Saccharomyces cerevisiae S288C: one gene and its partners. The protein of the gene in region 3 purifies or fractionates together with the protein of the main gene of each other region. This does not show direct contact. Each region holds a gene or a part of one and is shown on either strand. Other genes may lie near its edges. The genes, in order: LSM8, SMB1, BRR2 and LSM7.

Region 1 (2,693 bases), on a different chromosome or scaffold from region 3:
AAATGCTGTGATATGCTCCTTGCTATTTGGCGATGAGTTCAGGATTGCTAACATCGAACAAATCAAAGCAATTCCAAGCGGAAAGGTGGACCCTGTGACCAAGAAACCCATGGCGCTATCGTTTTTTGATACGCTGAAGATTCCCATCATTGAAAACATGGCGCATGAGGACGAGTTGATCGATGACTTGCACAAGACTTTTAAAGATTATCCAGACACATGCGCCGTAATTGTGAGGAGACATGGCATTTTTGTTTGGGGTCCGACAATCGATAAGGCCAAAATTTTCAACGAAGCCATCGATTATTTGATGGAGCTGGCCATAAAGATGTACCAAATGGGGATTCCTCCCGACTGTGGCATTGGCGAAGAGAAGAAGCATCTGAAGATGGCCAGTCCGTGACGGGTTAATGCTTAAATTTATTGTATGATTTATATACTTCTATACATGGTATTATTATTATTATTATTATTATTATTATTATTATTATTATTATTATTACTATTATTGCAACTATATTATTTTGTCTTTGATTCGTACACTTTTTCCCATATTACATGCTCATTTTCGATTTTATTCTTGGTGTCCTTTAGCATTGGGACCTTCTTTTCGTCTATAGGAGCTAGACTGTCATCATTTTCTGCATCTATGAGGCCAACAAGAGCAATCTCGCTGCCTCGAAGTAACTGTGCCTTGCAGATGAATTCCTTGCTTATGCGGTTGAAAACATTGGTTATGAATAGATTAGTATTTTTGTCGAAGCCGTTTAGGCTTGCTATGAGGCATTCGCCGTCAACTTTGATTATAACAACTCTTTTATTTAAGTAGTCTTTCAAGGTGGCTGACATGGTGCACGATAGTGTGTTCTTCTTGTATGGTGTACTGTATGCAGCTTGCTGGTCCATCTTATAAGAACCACGTAAGATTAGTTTTTTTTTTTCCCTTTACGCCATGATAGTATTTTCAGGACTTAAAGGGAAAATCAACAAGAACAGAAAGAAGGAAAACAAGCAAAACAAGGATACTGCAGACGTGTAGAAACATTTAGTAAAATGGTCGCTAGAGGTAGAACAGACGAGATATCTACAGATGTTTCAGAGGCTAATTCTGAACACTCGTTGATGATTACAGAAACATCATCACCGTTCAGATCTATATTCTCCCACAGTGGGAAAGTAGCGAATGCAGGCGCTTTAGAGGAATCGGACAAGCAGATACTGGAATGGGCAGGTAAACTGGAATTGGAGAGTATGGAGCTGAGGGAAAACTCTGACAAGCTAATTAAAGTTTTAAATGAAAATTCTAAGACATTATGTAAATCGCTAAACAAGTTTAACCAGCTACTGGAACAAGATGCTGCTACGAACGGTTCGTACCAACACAGTGCATACCCTCAAGTTTTTTATTCATTTTCTTCCAAAACACATTTACTAACAACTGTAGTATAGGAAACGTGAAAACCTTAATAAAGGATTTGGCTTCCCAGATTGAAAACCAACTGGACAAAGTGTCAACAGCAATGTTATCGAAAGGCGACGAGAAGAAGACAAAGTCGGATTCCAGCTACAGGCAGGTATTAGTCGAAGAAATAAGCAGGTATAATTCCAAGATAACGCGACACGTAACTAACAAGCAGCATGAGACGGAAAAGTCGATGAGGTGCACCCAGGAGATGCTCTTCAACGTCGGCAGCCAACTGGAGGACGTGCATAAAGTGCTCCTGTCTCTATCCAAAGACATGCACAGTCTACAAACCCGCCAGACTGCTCTAGAGATGGCGTTTCGAGAAAAGGCAGATCACGCCTACGATCGCCCGGATGTGTCTCTGAATGGCACCACACTCCTGCACGATATGGACGAAGCCCACGATAAGCAGCGTAAGAAGTCCGTGCCGCCACCAAGAATGATGGTCACAAGGTCCATGAAACGCAGAAGATCCAGCTCCCCAACCCTATCCACCAGCCAAAACCACAATAGCGAAGACAATGATGACGCTAGCCATCGGCTGAAGCGTGCGGCCAGGACCATTATTCCCTGGGAGGAACTAAGACCCGACACTCTGGAATCTGAGCTGTGAAACGGGCGTCCTGCTTTTTCATTCTACACAGGCATATGTAACAGCAGTGTATAGGCTATGTAAATCGGCCCAATCAACAAACAAGCGTTGCTTATTGGACTTGCTACTACCCCAACAAAGGAGAGAGCCTTTGATTGCATCCTCGGAAGAGACGGCATAAACACCGAGCCTCATCCTACAATGAAAAACCACGCCAGTTGGATATAAACCAGAAAAGGGTTTCAATTCAGTATCCACCATGAGCAAGACAAGATAAGACAAGATTGCATAAAAATGAGTGCTTCCAAAATGGCCATGTCCAACCTAGAGAAAATATTGGAACTGGTTCCTCTTTCGCCTACCAGTTTTGTCACAAAGTATCTGCCTGCCGCGCCCGTAGGGTCTAAGGGCACTTTTGGTGGAACGCTGGTATCACAATCGCTGCTGGCGTCATTGCATACTGTGCCATTGAACTTCTTCCCCACATCGCTACATTCGTATTTCATCAAGGGTGGTGATCCGCGGACCAAGATCACGTACCATGTGCAGAATCTGAGAAACGGTAGAAATTTCATCCATAAGCAGGTTAGTGCTTATCAGCACGACAAGTTGATATTTACGTCGATGATCTTATTT
Region 2 (2,776 bases), 320 kb from region 3:
GGGAGCTAAATCATTTATACACGGAAAAATTAGTGAAGGATTTTTTGGTGGGGTCTCCAAGGAAGTAATTTCTACGGTGTGGTCTATGTATGTTTTTCCGGACGCGTTCCGCCGTTTTGGTTTCTGCCCCAGAACACCCCCCATAAAAGAGGTTTTTCCGAAGAGTGCCTTTCAGTTTTTCCGAGATCTTTATCTTTTTCATCCGTATTATGTAAACCTGAATAGCCCCTTGAGCAATTGAGTTGCATAATAGCATGCAATTGCATATTGAACCTCCTAGGACTTAAAGGTTATTCGTCAACTAAGGAAAAATATGCTCATAACTTACATATCTCGTACACCCTAAAATCCCACACAGGGATTAAAATTAAAATTATGTTTAGGTAATGAAAAAATAGTAAAAAAATGCTTCCTTAAGTTAATTATGAATTTCCCTATTAACACACATGCGTACACAAAAAAAGTATACGGAAACTATATTAGACTACACTACATCAACCTTATTTTCTTTTAAAACCTGGTGGGGGCTGAAACTTCCTTGTTTGAGGGGGCGCTTCATTATTAAACCTCGACCTATTTGCGCCGATATTATCGTTGCCACCATTGTATCTGCTCGACGATGGTTGGGCAATCTCCCTAGAATTGCTACTAGTATGCTTCGCATTGGCCGTGTTAGGTTTAGCGATCTTTCCCGGCTTTTTCTCTTTCTCTTTTCTTAGTTTCGTCTGCTTTTGCGCTTGTTTCTTTTCCTTTTTATCTCTCACTAGTCTTTCCTTCTTGGATAGTAGCGGCTTATCCTCCACCACTGTGGATAAGATCTGTTCTCCTCTTAGTATAGTCAGTCCCAACACTCTTTTTTCTACCTTGATGTTCAAAGTGGTTCCATCTTTTGAATCTTTTCTCGGTCTTAATTTATCTAGTTGAGTTTTGGGTACCCTCTCTTCTATACACTCATTCAACACTAAATTCATATGTTTATCAAATGCCATCAATTGCCCGATGTAAACGCGGCCATCTTGAGTGAGAACCCTCAGCTTATAATCAATAAGGTTGGCTAGTCGGCTGCTATGTGCCACCTGTATTTTGCTCATTAGTTATTTACTTTACTGGAAACCTGTTATACGGATGGTTCTGTTACCCCTTCTACTTTTTTCCCTGTCTTGTTCATTTCTAACTAGCATAGGCTTCTTTAAATTTCATTTTTTATTTTCATAATTTTTATTTTGAATTTTTTCCCACATTATCGTGAGAAAAACAAGAACATGGAGAAATAAGGAAGCTCGGTGGGTGGTTAATTGGGGAACACACCTGGTAAGTAAAATTCAATACATGGAAGGAAAGAGAGAAATAATGTCTGACGAAGCAAAGGAAAAGCGTGAATTAGAAAGCCAAAAGGAATCAAGTCATAATAAATCCGAAAAGTCTGTGGAACCTAAGCCAAAGAGAAGAAGAAGAAGAAACTATGACGATTATGACGCTGAAGTAGCAAAAGAGGAGACTAAGGCTAAAAATGGTTTGACGAAGAGCGAAAATAATGGTACTGTTGAAGATTCTGAATCTGATATGGACGATGCCAAGTTAGACGCATTGATGGGAAATGAGGGAGAAGAAGAAGAGGACGATTTGGCAGAAATTGATACCTCTAATATCATCACATCCGGAAGAAGAACACGCGGCAAAGTAATTGACTATAAAAAGACTGCAGAAGAATTAGACAAGAAGGAACCTAGCACAGGCTCTAAAGATGATGTAGGATATGGTGAAAAAGAAGAAGACGATGAAGACGAAGAAGACGATGATTTTAAAGAGTAGTAAGCAAAATGTCGTACATACCGGCCTCTACTTGTGTATTCTGTTTACTTCAATTTCCTATATGCGTTCTATATGTATATAAACTATATGTCAGCAGAAAATTGTAAAAATATAGCACAGAATTAAAGGGGAGAAGAGTCATTCACATGCAAGTGCGCAACTGCTGCAAAATATCTCTTAACAACAGTTATTTCCATTTGCCTTTTTGTTTTCGTTTGGTGTTGGTGTCAGACTAATCGTTGGTCCATTAGGAGCGGACGCACCATTGGCATTCCCGTTGGCACTGGAGTCACCAAGGTCCATTTGATGCTTGCTGACCTTTTGATAGATGGTATTGATTAACTCTTCAAAAGCCTTATCCACGTTTTCACTGTTCAAAGCACTTGTTTCTGTGAATAATAACTGATTTTCCTGTGCAAAAGTCTTGGACTCCTCCGTAGGTACAGCACGTAAATGGGCCAAATCAGACTTGTTACCGATAAGCCCCACTGCGACGTTGTCATCTGCATTTTCTCTTAATTCTGATAACCAATGATTACAATTTTCATATGAGCTTGATTTACTGATATCGTAAACGATCAAGGCACCTACAGCTCCTCTATAATAAGCAGAAGTAATGGCTCTGTAACGTTCCTGGCCCGCAGTATCCCAAATCTGCGCCTTGATCCTCTTGCCATCAATTTCCAAAGTTCTGGTGGCAAACTCAACCCCAATTGTAGACTTTGAATCCATATTGAATTCGTTCTTCGTAAATCTTGACAATAGATTGGATTTCCCTACCCCGGAATCACCGATCAGTACAATTTTAAATAGTAGGTCGTAATCATACCCGTAGTCCTCGCTGCTCATTGTTGAAATCCCCAGACGCCGTCAGAATCCCTTTGCTGGCCTAAACAAAGTGCCTTGTAATAAAGGTCAAATTGTTATTCGTTTCTTTCTTGAAAAGTTTTGAGTTTCCCTCTTT
Region 3 (7,789 bases):
TTTTCCAAAATTTTGTTGTTGAAGTGTGGAATCTGTCTCAACGGATTATCAACGTCCCATACACCCTGAATCAACATCTGCGCCAAATCCATGGCGGTAGTAGCATTCAAATACCCGTTTGCTGAAAGGATATCAACCACTACGTTAATTAGTGGAACAACCTTTTCTAGAATGTCTTTTAAATCATTTTGAAAGTCGACAGGTAATTCAAGACGTGAAAAATATGCTTGTAACAATAAGAAAACTTTAAAGCTCACCGAACCAGAAGAGGTGTGTTCAGGGAATCTCAATGGTAGTCTTTTACTTAATTTGACAAGTAATGCTCTGTCTCCTTTTCTGAGTGGAACACTTTCGAATTCTACTGCTGTTGAAAGAACATACAGCATGTTTTTGAGCGTTGACGTATTCGATAAAGAAGAAACGAATGACTGAATAGTAAAAAATGATACGCCATAGTGAGAAGCAATTAGCCCGTTGCTCAAGGTAGAAATGATTTCAGTTGCTTCATCATCTCCTCCATTAACTTCTGCGGTTACTTCAGCTTCTGTATCGTCAATTTCAATGAAGGATGATTCAACTAAGTCATTCAAACAAGTTTCAACTAAATTACTCAAAAAAACTGAAATTCCATGTGGAGACGTATCCCTTACGCCATAATAGCTTGGATTCACATGGATACGACGATAGAAATACGAATATGTAAACCAGTCAACACAATCTTGTTTGCTTTGTATAATAGAATTTGCTATCTCGTTGTTCAGAGTATCATGAATAATATACTGTAGGTAACTCTCAGTAGGCAAAGGCTCAATTAAGAATTTTTTGTAGTAGGCCTTCATGTTGTGACTTGTCAAAATTAAAACCTTGCCTGCCATTGAATCGTTACCACTAGCTAGTCCCACCATTTCTAGAAGTTCATTTATGGTATATGGCATATATTTATGCTCTGCACCATCATAAAGGTTGGTTCCTAAAATAATCACTTCATCAGTTTTACAAGCGAATGCAGAACAATCCTTAGAAATGAGTAAAACCGATACCGCACCATATTCGTATAACCTTTTCACAATTCTTTCATCATTTGATGCCATCCCCTTATACAAAATACCAACACCGTGTTTTAAAGGTGCTCTTAGATGACCATCTGTTAACTTTTCAATGTATGGTACAATTTGCTCTTCTTCAACGTTCAACATATCCCATTCAATTGCTTTTGAAAACTTCATAAATGCAGACGCAACTTCCATACAATCCTTTCTAGATGGTAAGAACACCGAACTGGAATTACGATTTCCCGCTGCAGCAGCAGATGCTTCAAATGCCATTTGAAGCATCGAAAAATTGAATGATATGTGCTCAACATCTTTAAATGACTGAATATTAATTTCAAGAGGCTCAATTCTTTCGCTTGGAGAAAAGTTGTAGATGTTTGACTTCGTCATACCAGCCCATTCACCAAAATCACGAGCATTTGCCAAACAGTTCGAAAGGCAAACAAATCGAATTTTCTTTTCAAGTTGGGTTGCTATAAATATCATTCTAGAAATTAGCGTTTCATACACAGCACCGTAAACACCTTGGCTAATCTCATGAGCGTCATCATATATCATTAATTCTAAACTTTGGATGTTCTTCCTTTGTCTCCAACGACGTGACAAAAGCTCAAATTGCACGGGGGTAGCCAAGAGAACATGGCTTTTTGCTAATAATTTTAAATTTAGTGAAGGATCATTTCCTAGCTTATTTATTATCTTACCACCAGCAAGATGAGAGAACCTTTTATTCCAATCAGATAGCAAAAAATCAATTTTTTCCCCAGACGGATTGATATAAACCGCTCTTCCTTTATTCTGTCTCCAATGATTTAACAGTGCTAATTCAGCCATAGCTGTTTTACCTGTGCCCTTTCCTGAACCTACAAAGACCGAGTCATTCGAATTGTAGAGAGACTCGAAGACCTGGCTCTGAATCTTGTTGAAAGTTTTAAATTCAAATACTTCGGAAAAATCATCATTGCCAAGCTCTGATGTTGAAATACTAATATTCTCCAGAAGGGGAGTAGGAGGAGGAAATTTTTTCGGAAGTTTAAATCCATTGAAGGAAACTGGAATCTCGAATTCACTGTGCCACCAATTTTCTGATATCAAAGTAAGGAAGAAATTAGGTGGTAAGTTATTTTGATTGTGCTGCTTTAACTCATAAGTAAAGGATAAGGTAAATTCATGACCAACTATATCTGGAGTGATGAATAGTACGTCATAATAAAGTATTGAATCACCATCAGTGTCTTCTAGCATGAGCAAAAAAGGTTCAAGGGAACCGTGTACATTCATATCCCATATCCAGTCGGCTATTATTTCAATGTTGAACCTCATAACGCTACGGGTAATTGGCTGAGCGTTGCATGTTACGGACATTTTGGGAAATCTTTTCAATAAATCGTAAACCTGTTTTCCATATTTTTCAGATCTGATTGCACGACCAACTTCGGCAGGTGTTTCTAGCTGTAGATAATCTCCCCACGGTACTGTAGAGGCTTCCAGCCTTTTAATCACTTCGACAGGGCATGTTTTAAACTGTCTTAAAGGACAGTTTGTTGGCCACATTTTAGTTGTGGCAGATTTGCAAAGATTTAACAACATCCGTGTGGGATGTCCCCATCCTCTCTTCAAGCATATTTCAAACATAGCACGCAATAACCTACCAGCATTTTGGTGAATAAACACTATATCAGAATTAAGTGCAAAACCTTCGAACTTTAGCTGGGAAAAATAAGACTGCAGTAGTACATTCACTTTTGCTAAAGGATCATCAATATCTTCTCTGATAGGAATGGGTGCTTTCTCTAGAAGTTGTTTTAGTTCTCTTTTCTCTTCATATCTCACCGATACGTACTTAAACTCTTCCGACATTGAGAATATTCTAAAAAGATCAATCTGAGTTGTATGTTCATCTAACTCTCTATTGTAAACATCCATGGAAGCATGATTTATGTAAAATGACGACGCTATATTTCCTAGATCGGTCGCCTCAATTACATCATTTTCAGCATCATATAACACCAACTCTTGTTCTTTTAAAATGCATAGGGCCGAATGGACTAAGCTTTCTCTAAACTTTTTCAATTGCCCATCACTTGAAATATCAGGTACTTTGTAAAGCATAGGGGAAGCTAACATTCTGACATATAGGTAAGTATACGCCAACCAATTCACAGCATCATTCCTGCACTTAATGTTACCCGCGACAACTTCTGCATTTAAGTTGTCAACTAATTTTGAAACAAATTGCGATTCTATTGGTAATTGTTGATTTAAAACCGAGAGATAATATTGAACATTCGATTGGTCTGTTATTATAATACCCTCGCCAAATGTGTCATATCTCGGTCTGCCTGCTCTACCTAACATTTGAAGTACATCTTGTGGAGAAAGTTGTTCCCAGGACCCCTTTTCAGGTGAATAGACATCTGTTCCTTTTATAATCACTGTATGAGCAGGTAGATTAACACCCCATGCTAACGTCGCAGTGCATACCAATACTTGCAACAACCCGTCTGCAAATAAATCTTCAGATAAGGATCTGTCACTTCTGGTCAGCCCTGCGTGATGCGTCCCTATACCGCTTTCAATCAACTTTCGTAGACTTGGATCGAGTACGTTGGCTGCTTCTGTCTTTAAAATCTGCTTCGATCCTGCATCATTTTTGGTTAATTTATGAGTAATGTTCTCTTCAGCAAATTTATTTTTCAACCATGTTGCTGTTCGTGATGTTTCTTTTCGAGAATGAACAAACACGATTATTTGATTACCTTCATTGATGGATTCCAATACCTTTTCATAACAAGCATCATTCATAGCCTTCAGCTTTTTCAAGGAGTTCCGTTCCTTAATGCCACAAAACTGTTGAGATAGAGGACACGGTCTAAATGAGGAGTCAAAATAAAACAATCCTTCCTTCGGAACTCTTAAAAACCTACCGACATCCTCATAATTTGGTAAGGTGGCAGAAAGGCCTATTATTCTGGGGTATTCCTGGCCATATTTGGAAGCCCAAAATGTCCTAGCCACGATGCTTTCCAATACTGGTCCCCTGTCATCATGTAACAAATGTATTTCATCTATAATCAACAAACGAACAAGTTCTACGATGGCCAAATTATTTGAATTTCTAGTAGTTATGTCCCATTTCTCTGGCGTAGACACCAAAACCTGCGTCTCGTCAATTTGCTTTCTACTAAGCCTAGAATCACCAGTCAATTCAGCGACTTTTATACCTAGAAAAGCCAACCTCCTTTGAAATTCTCGGACTTGTTCCTGTACTAAGGCTTTCAAGGGTGCTATATAAACAATTTTAAATGCAGAAAGGTTTAATTTCTTAGTTTTCGGGTTATAATGATGGGATAAGGCTTTCAATACCGTCAATAACGCGATATTCGTCTTACCTGAACCAGTGGGTGCACATATTAGCATGTTTGAATCACCTTCAAATGCTGCGTGAAAAACCTTTGATTGTATAGGGTTTAAGGACGTTGTTTCCGATGAAGGAAACGCCTCCTGACACCAATCTGGTAGAGAAGTAATTTCTTTCAACTCATAATCAATAACAGGTTTGCTAGGAGCTGGAATATGTATTTCGTCATATTGTGGTTTCACCCTTTTGAATGATCCTTCCGGTAGGGATACTTTTGTCACGGTCATTAATTTAGAACTTTCGTCGAATTTAATCTTTTCCAAATCTATGACGGGCGGTATTGCTGGATTACTGAATTTTGTTCTTTTTGCTTCCGAAGACTGTGGCTGGTCGTCACCGGAATCGAGTTCACGCTTTGAGTGTGTAGTTTCTCTAAATTTATACTGTTCCACAAGATCATTCAAACCTTTTGCAACCATTTTCTCTATTAAGTTCGGTATTTCATTCTCTGTGCTCTTCGCCAGTCGTATGCCCCAAAAAATTGTAGATCTATTCTTGAGAATAAATTCAGCCAGTGATATATTCTCGAATTTAAGCAGATCAACCAACTTCTGCTCCAACGCTACTGGATTATGCTCAAGTGTTTCAATATCATTCAAAATTTTTTCTGACAGGTCTTGTATTACAGAGGTATCCTTGTAACCAAGCTCTGACCGAAGTTTTCTCTGCAAAAAAAATTCATCGATTGAGTATATCGGAACGCTCTCGATATTACTTGTTTTACTATCGGAGAGTTTAATTATATCGTTTTCAATGTTTGGCAATGCCCTCTTGTTTTTTTTTTTAGAATTGACTTCAACGTCATTGTAATCATATTCCTCATCATCATCTTCATTATCATTGATTTCTCCCCCAAGAACATTAGCATTGTTGGACATTTCTGTTACTTCTTCTTCATCTGATTTTTCATCATCGGCAAGAATTGCTACTGCTTGTTTATTGCTATTGTCAGGATGTGTTTCATAATCGGTAATGTTTTTCATAAGTTTAACTAATTCGTTAAACTTCAGGGAGTCTATATTGATGCCTAGCTCATGCTGGATCTTTTCCTTTCGCTCTTCAATATTACCATCCTCATTTTCCTCATTTTCTTTCAATTGTCTGATGAATATATCAGCAGTTCCAATAATAAGATCATGGGGTATATCATTGCCTAAAACTTCTGTAACCCACTGCAAAATCTGCTCGTAAGTTTCGACATTTGAGGGATCCTTTGGATAATAATGTAACCTGAAATCGGAGGAAGAATTCAAAATGGTGTTATGCTGCTGAATTTTTTTCAATGATGCGCTCTTTCCAGTTTTTTCAACGGCTACATCATTTTCTTTTAGTCCTTTATTAATGTTATTGCACAGGCCCTGTCCCATATCCTTAGCACTAATTCTACCACTCATGGATTTTGGTTGTGATATTTCCGCATCCCTTTGAGGATTTTGGCTGGTATTCATAAAGCGTTTATCAACTTTCAACACCTTATTGGACATCTCATCATAACGATAAATTTCTCTAATTTTTTTGGCCTTATCCTTCGTTTCATGCTCAGTCATTTTTAATAACGAAGGCTCACGGTAAATCTTCCAAAGCAATTACTTATATTTACCTTCACCTTATTTTACTCAAGATTATCTCTATTAGTGTATTATTCCTTTATAGTAGACATAGCTTTAGTAGCATAAATTTTTAATATTCTCGTAAAGAGCGACAATATTCAATATTAGATCGTCAAAGAAGCAAACACGCATTGATATCTGAGAGATCATCACAATGCGTTAATAGTACTTGATTCAACACCACTAATTATCAAGTTTGTTCCTGTCTGAATGATATGGATAGTACGAATTTGAACAAACGGCCCTTATTACAATATAGTCTCAGTTCATTGGGCTCGCAAATAACAAAATGGAGCTCATCTAGACCGACTTCGCCAGTTCGTAAGGCGAGAAGCACTGAAAATGACTTTCTTTCCAAGCAAGATACGTCTAGTATCCTCCCAAGTATCAACGACGACGGCGGTGAACAGTGGTACGAAAAGTTCAAGCCCAATTGTTTGGAGCAAGTGGCCATACATAAAAGAAAACTTAAAGATGTACAAGAAGCTTTAGATGCCATGTTTTTACCTAACGCCAAGCATAGGATCCTACTACTGTCTGGCCCCAGTGGATGCTCTAAAAGTACGGTCATAAAAGAACTCTCAAAAATCTTAGTTCCTAAATACAGACAAAACAGCAACGGAACGTCCTTTCGAAGCACCCCGAACGAGCATAAAGTGACCGAGTTTAGAGGTGATTGTATAGTCAACGATCTTCCTCAGATGGAAAGCTTTAGTGAGTTCTTAAAAGGCGCACGGTATCTTGTGATGTCCAACCTGTCATTAATACTTATCGAGGACCTTCCCAACGTCTTCCATATAGATACCAGACGTCGATTTCAACAACTTATATTACAGTGGCTATATAGTTCGGAGCCTCTATTACCTCCCCTTGTTATATGTATAACTGAATGTGAAATTCCAGAGAACGATAATAATTATCGCAAATTTGGTATTGATTATACATTTAGTGCAGAAACCATAATGAACAAAGAAATATTGATGCATCCAAGGTTGAAAAGAATTAAGTTTAATCCAATTAACAGCACTTTATTAAAAAAGCACTTGAAATTTATTTGTGTACAGAATATGAAAATGTTGAAGGAGAAAAATAAATGGAATAAAAGACAGGAAGTCATAGATTATATTGCGCAAGAGACTGGTGATATTAGGTCGGCCATTACGACCCTTCAATTTTGGGCGACATCAAGTGGAAGTTTGCCGATTTCAACCCGAGAATCCACCATATCATACTTTCATGCCATTGGGAAGGTGATACATGGTTCCCATAGCACGAATAACGATAACGAAATGATTAATAACCTCTTCGAAAATTCGAACAATTTGTTATCGAAAGAGGATTTCAAATTAGGAATATTAGAGAACTATAACACATTTAATAAAGGCGAATTCAGCATTTCTGATGCATCATCAATTGTGGATTGCCTGAGCGAGTGTGATAATATGAATGGTCTACCAGAATCCAATGAGTATGGTTTACGAGAAGTGCGCAAAACCTTTCGTAACATCAGTAAACAAGGCCATAATCATGGAACGGTTTATTTTCCAAGAGAATGGAAAGTAAGAAAATTACAAAATTCATTTAAAGTTCAAGCTGAAGATTGGTTAAATGTTAGTCTTTATAAGTACAACGCGGTACATTCTTTCAGGAATATAACTCTAGAATTTGGCTACTACGCACCTCTAATTAGAAAGTGTCAGAGTTAT
Region 4 (2,803 bases), on a different chromosome or scaffold from region 3:
TGTGAATTGCATCATTCATGCGGAATGGGAATCATCGCAGTCGTTATCCGTCTCACAAACGTCGGCATTTGCTGACTATTAAGGCGACACGTAACCTACAAACTCAATTTGAGACGCAAACGCAAGTTGATTAGACGTTGAGAATGATGCAAGTAGCAACATCGGTAATGGTTAGACTATTTTATCAGAAAACTATAGAAAAACTAAAAACAAAACAATGTCACAATGACAAAGAGGAACCCATACATACACAGAGAGCCTATTCTTCCAGTAGTTCCTCAATATCAGCATCACTATCTGGGTCCAACCCTTGGTTTCTTCTCTTAGCCTCTTCCAAAGCGTTTTCAAACAACTCCTGTTGTCTTTTAACTCTTCTTCTAGTTTTCTTACCCCAACCGAAAGAAGTTGTTTCTGCTGTTGCAGCATCATCTGGCTTGTCGATCAGGTCTTTTGATCTCTTTTCCTCTTTGTCTCGTTTGTCCTTTTCCACTTGGGCAGCCAACTGCTTCTTCGCCAATTCCCTGGATGCGATATTTCTTAAGAGTAAATAACCACCTACAATTATCACCAATCTTATAAAGTGCTTGTAGTCATAGTTGACTAGTTTTGCCATCCAGGTATCCACCCATGTTTCCGCTACTTCAGACATCTCTTTCAATTACTCGGCAGTTTTTCTCTTCATAACATCTTTTCCTCATACAAACCGCCGAGTGCACATAAATACAACTACAAATAATAATATGTTGACATCGGATGGAGATCACTAACTAAACCGCCACCGCGCTAATTCTGCACAAATTCAAATTTCATCATCGCTCTCCACGTCATCATGGACGTCTTCCACCTCGGCGGATTCTTCGTCTTTTGATAGAATTTCCACAGCCCGCGGACGCACAAACGATCCGTGACCCGGCGCCACAGGCCCAAACAGTGTTACCCCATTTATGCGCCCATCGTTTTTGCCTGCGGCTTCCGGGAATTCCACACCGCACCATGTGCCCATCACGTCCAACGGTAGTGGTCCTACGTACCGTAAAATGGCCTCACGTGGAGCGCTCCCGTCTACTGTGACACGACAGTGGCGGCCGATAGCCGCCGTTAATTGCTCTCGGGCATATGCTTCGTCCTGCTTTGCCAGCGCAGCGCGCTGGCTCTGCTGTGCAGCATTAAACCTACCATAGCCGTGAGCCATCTTCCATCGTAATACGGATTGATCCCTTCGCAAATAATCCTCCTCGCTAATTACTTCCATTGAGGGGATTCCTTCCGCTTGCGTGGCCAGCTGGTTAGAGATTGATTGGGCATTAGAGTCTGTAACAACCACAATAAGCTCCTCCTCTCCTTTTAGGAAGTTGGCATCTTCATCCTCATTTGAATAGGCACCCCCCTTTTTAGTACTATATATCTCCTTGTTGTCGTACTGTCTTTTCACAACTATTTCCATATCCTCTGGTTCCACTCCGGTAACATGGTACAATCGGTCCTTGAACTGCCTTAATTTAAGCGAATTTGGTAATTCCTTTTCTGTACGGACCAATTCACTCTCTATGACAACTCTAACCATAGTTTTGCCATGTAATTTTTTTTTCTATCTCTTTATTTGAATTCGTTGCTCTATGTTCTTGTCGCTTGTCTTCTTCAACTGCCGTTTCCCTGCGAGCCGGAAAAAAGTACTGTTCTTTCGAACAAAGGCGAAAAAAGCTGTAGCTGAAAACAGACAACTGGGAAACGACAATTAAGAATACGCATGTACGTGTATACTACTACAGTAAAAAAGAAAGTTATTTGAGAGCAGCACTTTGTTTACTACACAGAACATTAACCAAAAAAACATGCATCAGCAACACTCCGTATGTTTCACTTCTTATTTTCTTCCGTGGCAATAACCTTCCTTTTGACTTATTTATACTAACATTATAATAACTATGTTTCCTTTTTGAACTAAGAAATCAGAGAACAAACCACAACAGCAAAGGAAAAAATTCGAAGGCCCTAAAAGAGAAGCTATTCTGGATTTAGCGAAGTATAAAGATTCTAAAATTCGCGTCAAATTAATGGGTGGTAAATTAGTTATAGGTGTCCTAAAAGGCTATGATCAACTGATGAACTTGGTACTTGATGATACAGTAGAATATATGTCTAATCCTGATGATGAAAACAACACTGAACTGATTTCTAAAAACGCAAGAAAGCTAGGTTTGACCGTCATAAGAGGTACTATTTTGGTCTCTTTAAGTTCCGCCGAAGGTTCTGATGTACTATATATGCAAAAATAGGTTTAATAATATAATCTCATATAAACTCCCTTCCTTACAGTTGAAAACAAAATCAAATCACGGTATGGCATTTCTTTACATATTCTCAATACCTGACTGACATAGTATGCGCTACATAGTTTTGTCCTATTTTTTTTACACCGCGATTTGAAGTCTAAAGCCAGAGAATGAGGAAAAACGAAACAAACTGAGATCATTTGTATAAGGGGAGTCACTGTACAGCTGCCAATACCAATTTTCCTTCTGCCAAATCAAAAAAGTATCCGCATACACATACACCCCTCCCTCTACAATCTTAATTATTTACTGATTCCTTTCGTATTTGTCCAGTATGAGCAATACTAAGCATACCACTTCTCATCACATGGAACTCAAAAGGATCATTATCCTTACACTTTTATTCATACTCATAATGTTGATATTTCGAAACTCAGTGTCCTTCAAAATGACATTTCAAGAACTACTGCCACGATTTTACAAAAAGAATTCAAACTCAGTTAGTAATAATAACAGGCCCTCATCTATTT

Evidence for each region.
Region 1: the proteins of BRR2 (region 3) and LSM8 purify together in Saccharomyces cerevisiae (affinity purification with mass spectrometry; 9 studies listed by BioGRID, with this or other methods). This does not show direct contact.
Region 2: the proteins of BRR2 (region 3) and SMB1 purify together in Saccharomyces cerevisiae (affinity purification with mass spectrometry; 8 studies listed by BioGRID, with this or other methods). This does not show direct contact.
Region 4: the proteins of BRR2 (region 3) and LSM7 purify together in Saccharomyces cerevisiae (affinity purification with mass spectrometry; 6 studies listed by BioGRID, with this or other methods). This does not show direct contact.

The regions. Positions count from the first base shown.
Region 1 is NC_001142.9:467,940-470,632, reverse strand, and holds LSM8 (U4/U6-U5 snRNP complex subunit LSM8), read right to left. Parts: upstream 850-2,693; coding exon 520-849; downstream 1-519. Other genes in the region: methylthioribulose 1-phosphate dehydratase MDE1, read left to right, coding at 1-403; REC107 (Rec107p), read left to right, coding at 1,054-1,369, 1,450-2,078; TES1 (palmitoyl-CoA hydrolase), read left to right, coding at 2,352-2,693. UniProt on the Saccharomyces cerevisiae protein: Component of the nuclear LSM2-LSM8 complex, which is involved in spliceosome assembly. The LSM2-LSM8 complex plays a role in the biogenesis of the spliceosomal U4/U6-U5 tri-snRNP complex by accelerating PRP24-mediated annealing of U4/U6 di-snRNA.
Region 2 is NC_001137.3:212,087-214,862, forward strand, and holds SMB1 (mRNA splicing protein SMB1), read right to left. Parts: upstream 1,092-2,776; coding exon 501-1,091; downstream 1-500. Other genes in the region: CHZ1 (Chz1p), read left to right, coding at 1,351-1,812; Rab family GTPase YPT31, read right to left, coding at 1,990-2,661. UniProt on the Saccharomyces cerevisiae protein: Plays a role in pre-mRNA splicing as a core component of the spliceosomal U1, U2, U4 and U5 small nuclear ribonucleoproteins (snRNPs), the building blocks of the spliceosome.
Region 3 is NC_001137.3:530,002-537,790, forward strand, and holds the start of BRR2 (ATP-dependent RNA helicase BRR2), read right to left. Parts: upstream 6,021-7,789; coding exon 1-6,020. Other genes in the region: RAD24 (Rad24p), read left to right, coding at 6,299-7,789.
Region 4 is NC_001146.8:349,108-351,910, forward strand, and holds LSM7 (Sm-like protein LSM7), read left to right. Parts: upstream 1-1,832; coding exon 1,833-1,850; intron 1,851-1,946; coding exon 1,947-2,276; downstream 2,277-2,803. Other genes in the region: PGA2 (Pga2p), read right to left, coding at 260-649; ALF1 (Alf1p), read right to left, coding at 800-1,564; YNL146C-A (uncharacterized protein), read right to left, coding at 2,279-2,473; YNL146W (uncharacterized protein), read left to right, coding at 2,608-2,803. UniProt on the Saccharomyces cerevisiae protein: Component of LSm protein complexes, which are involved in RNA processing and may function in a chaperone-like manner. Component of the cytoplasmic LSM1-LSM7 complex which is involved in mRNA degradation by activating the decapping step.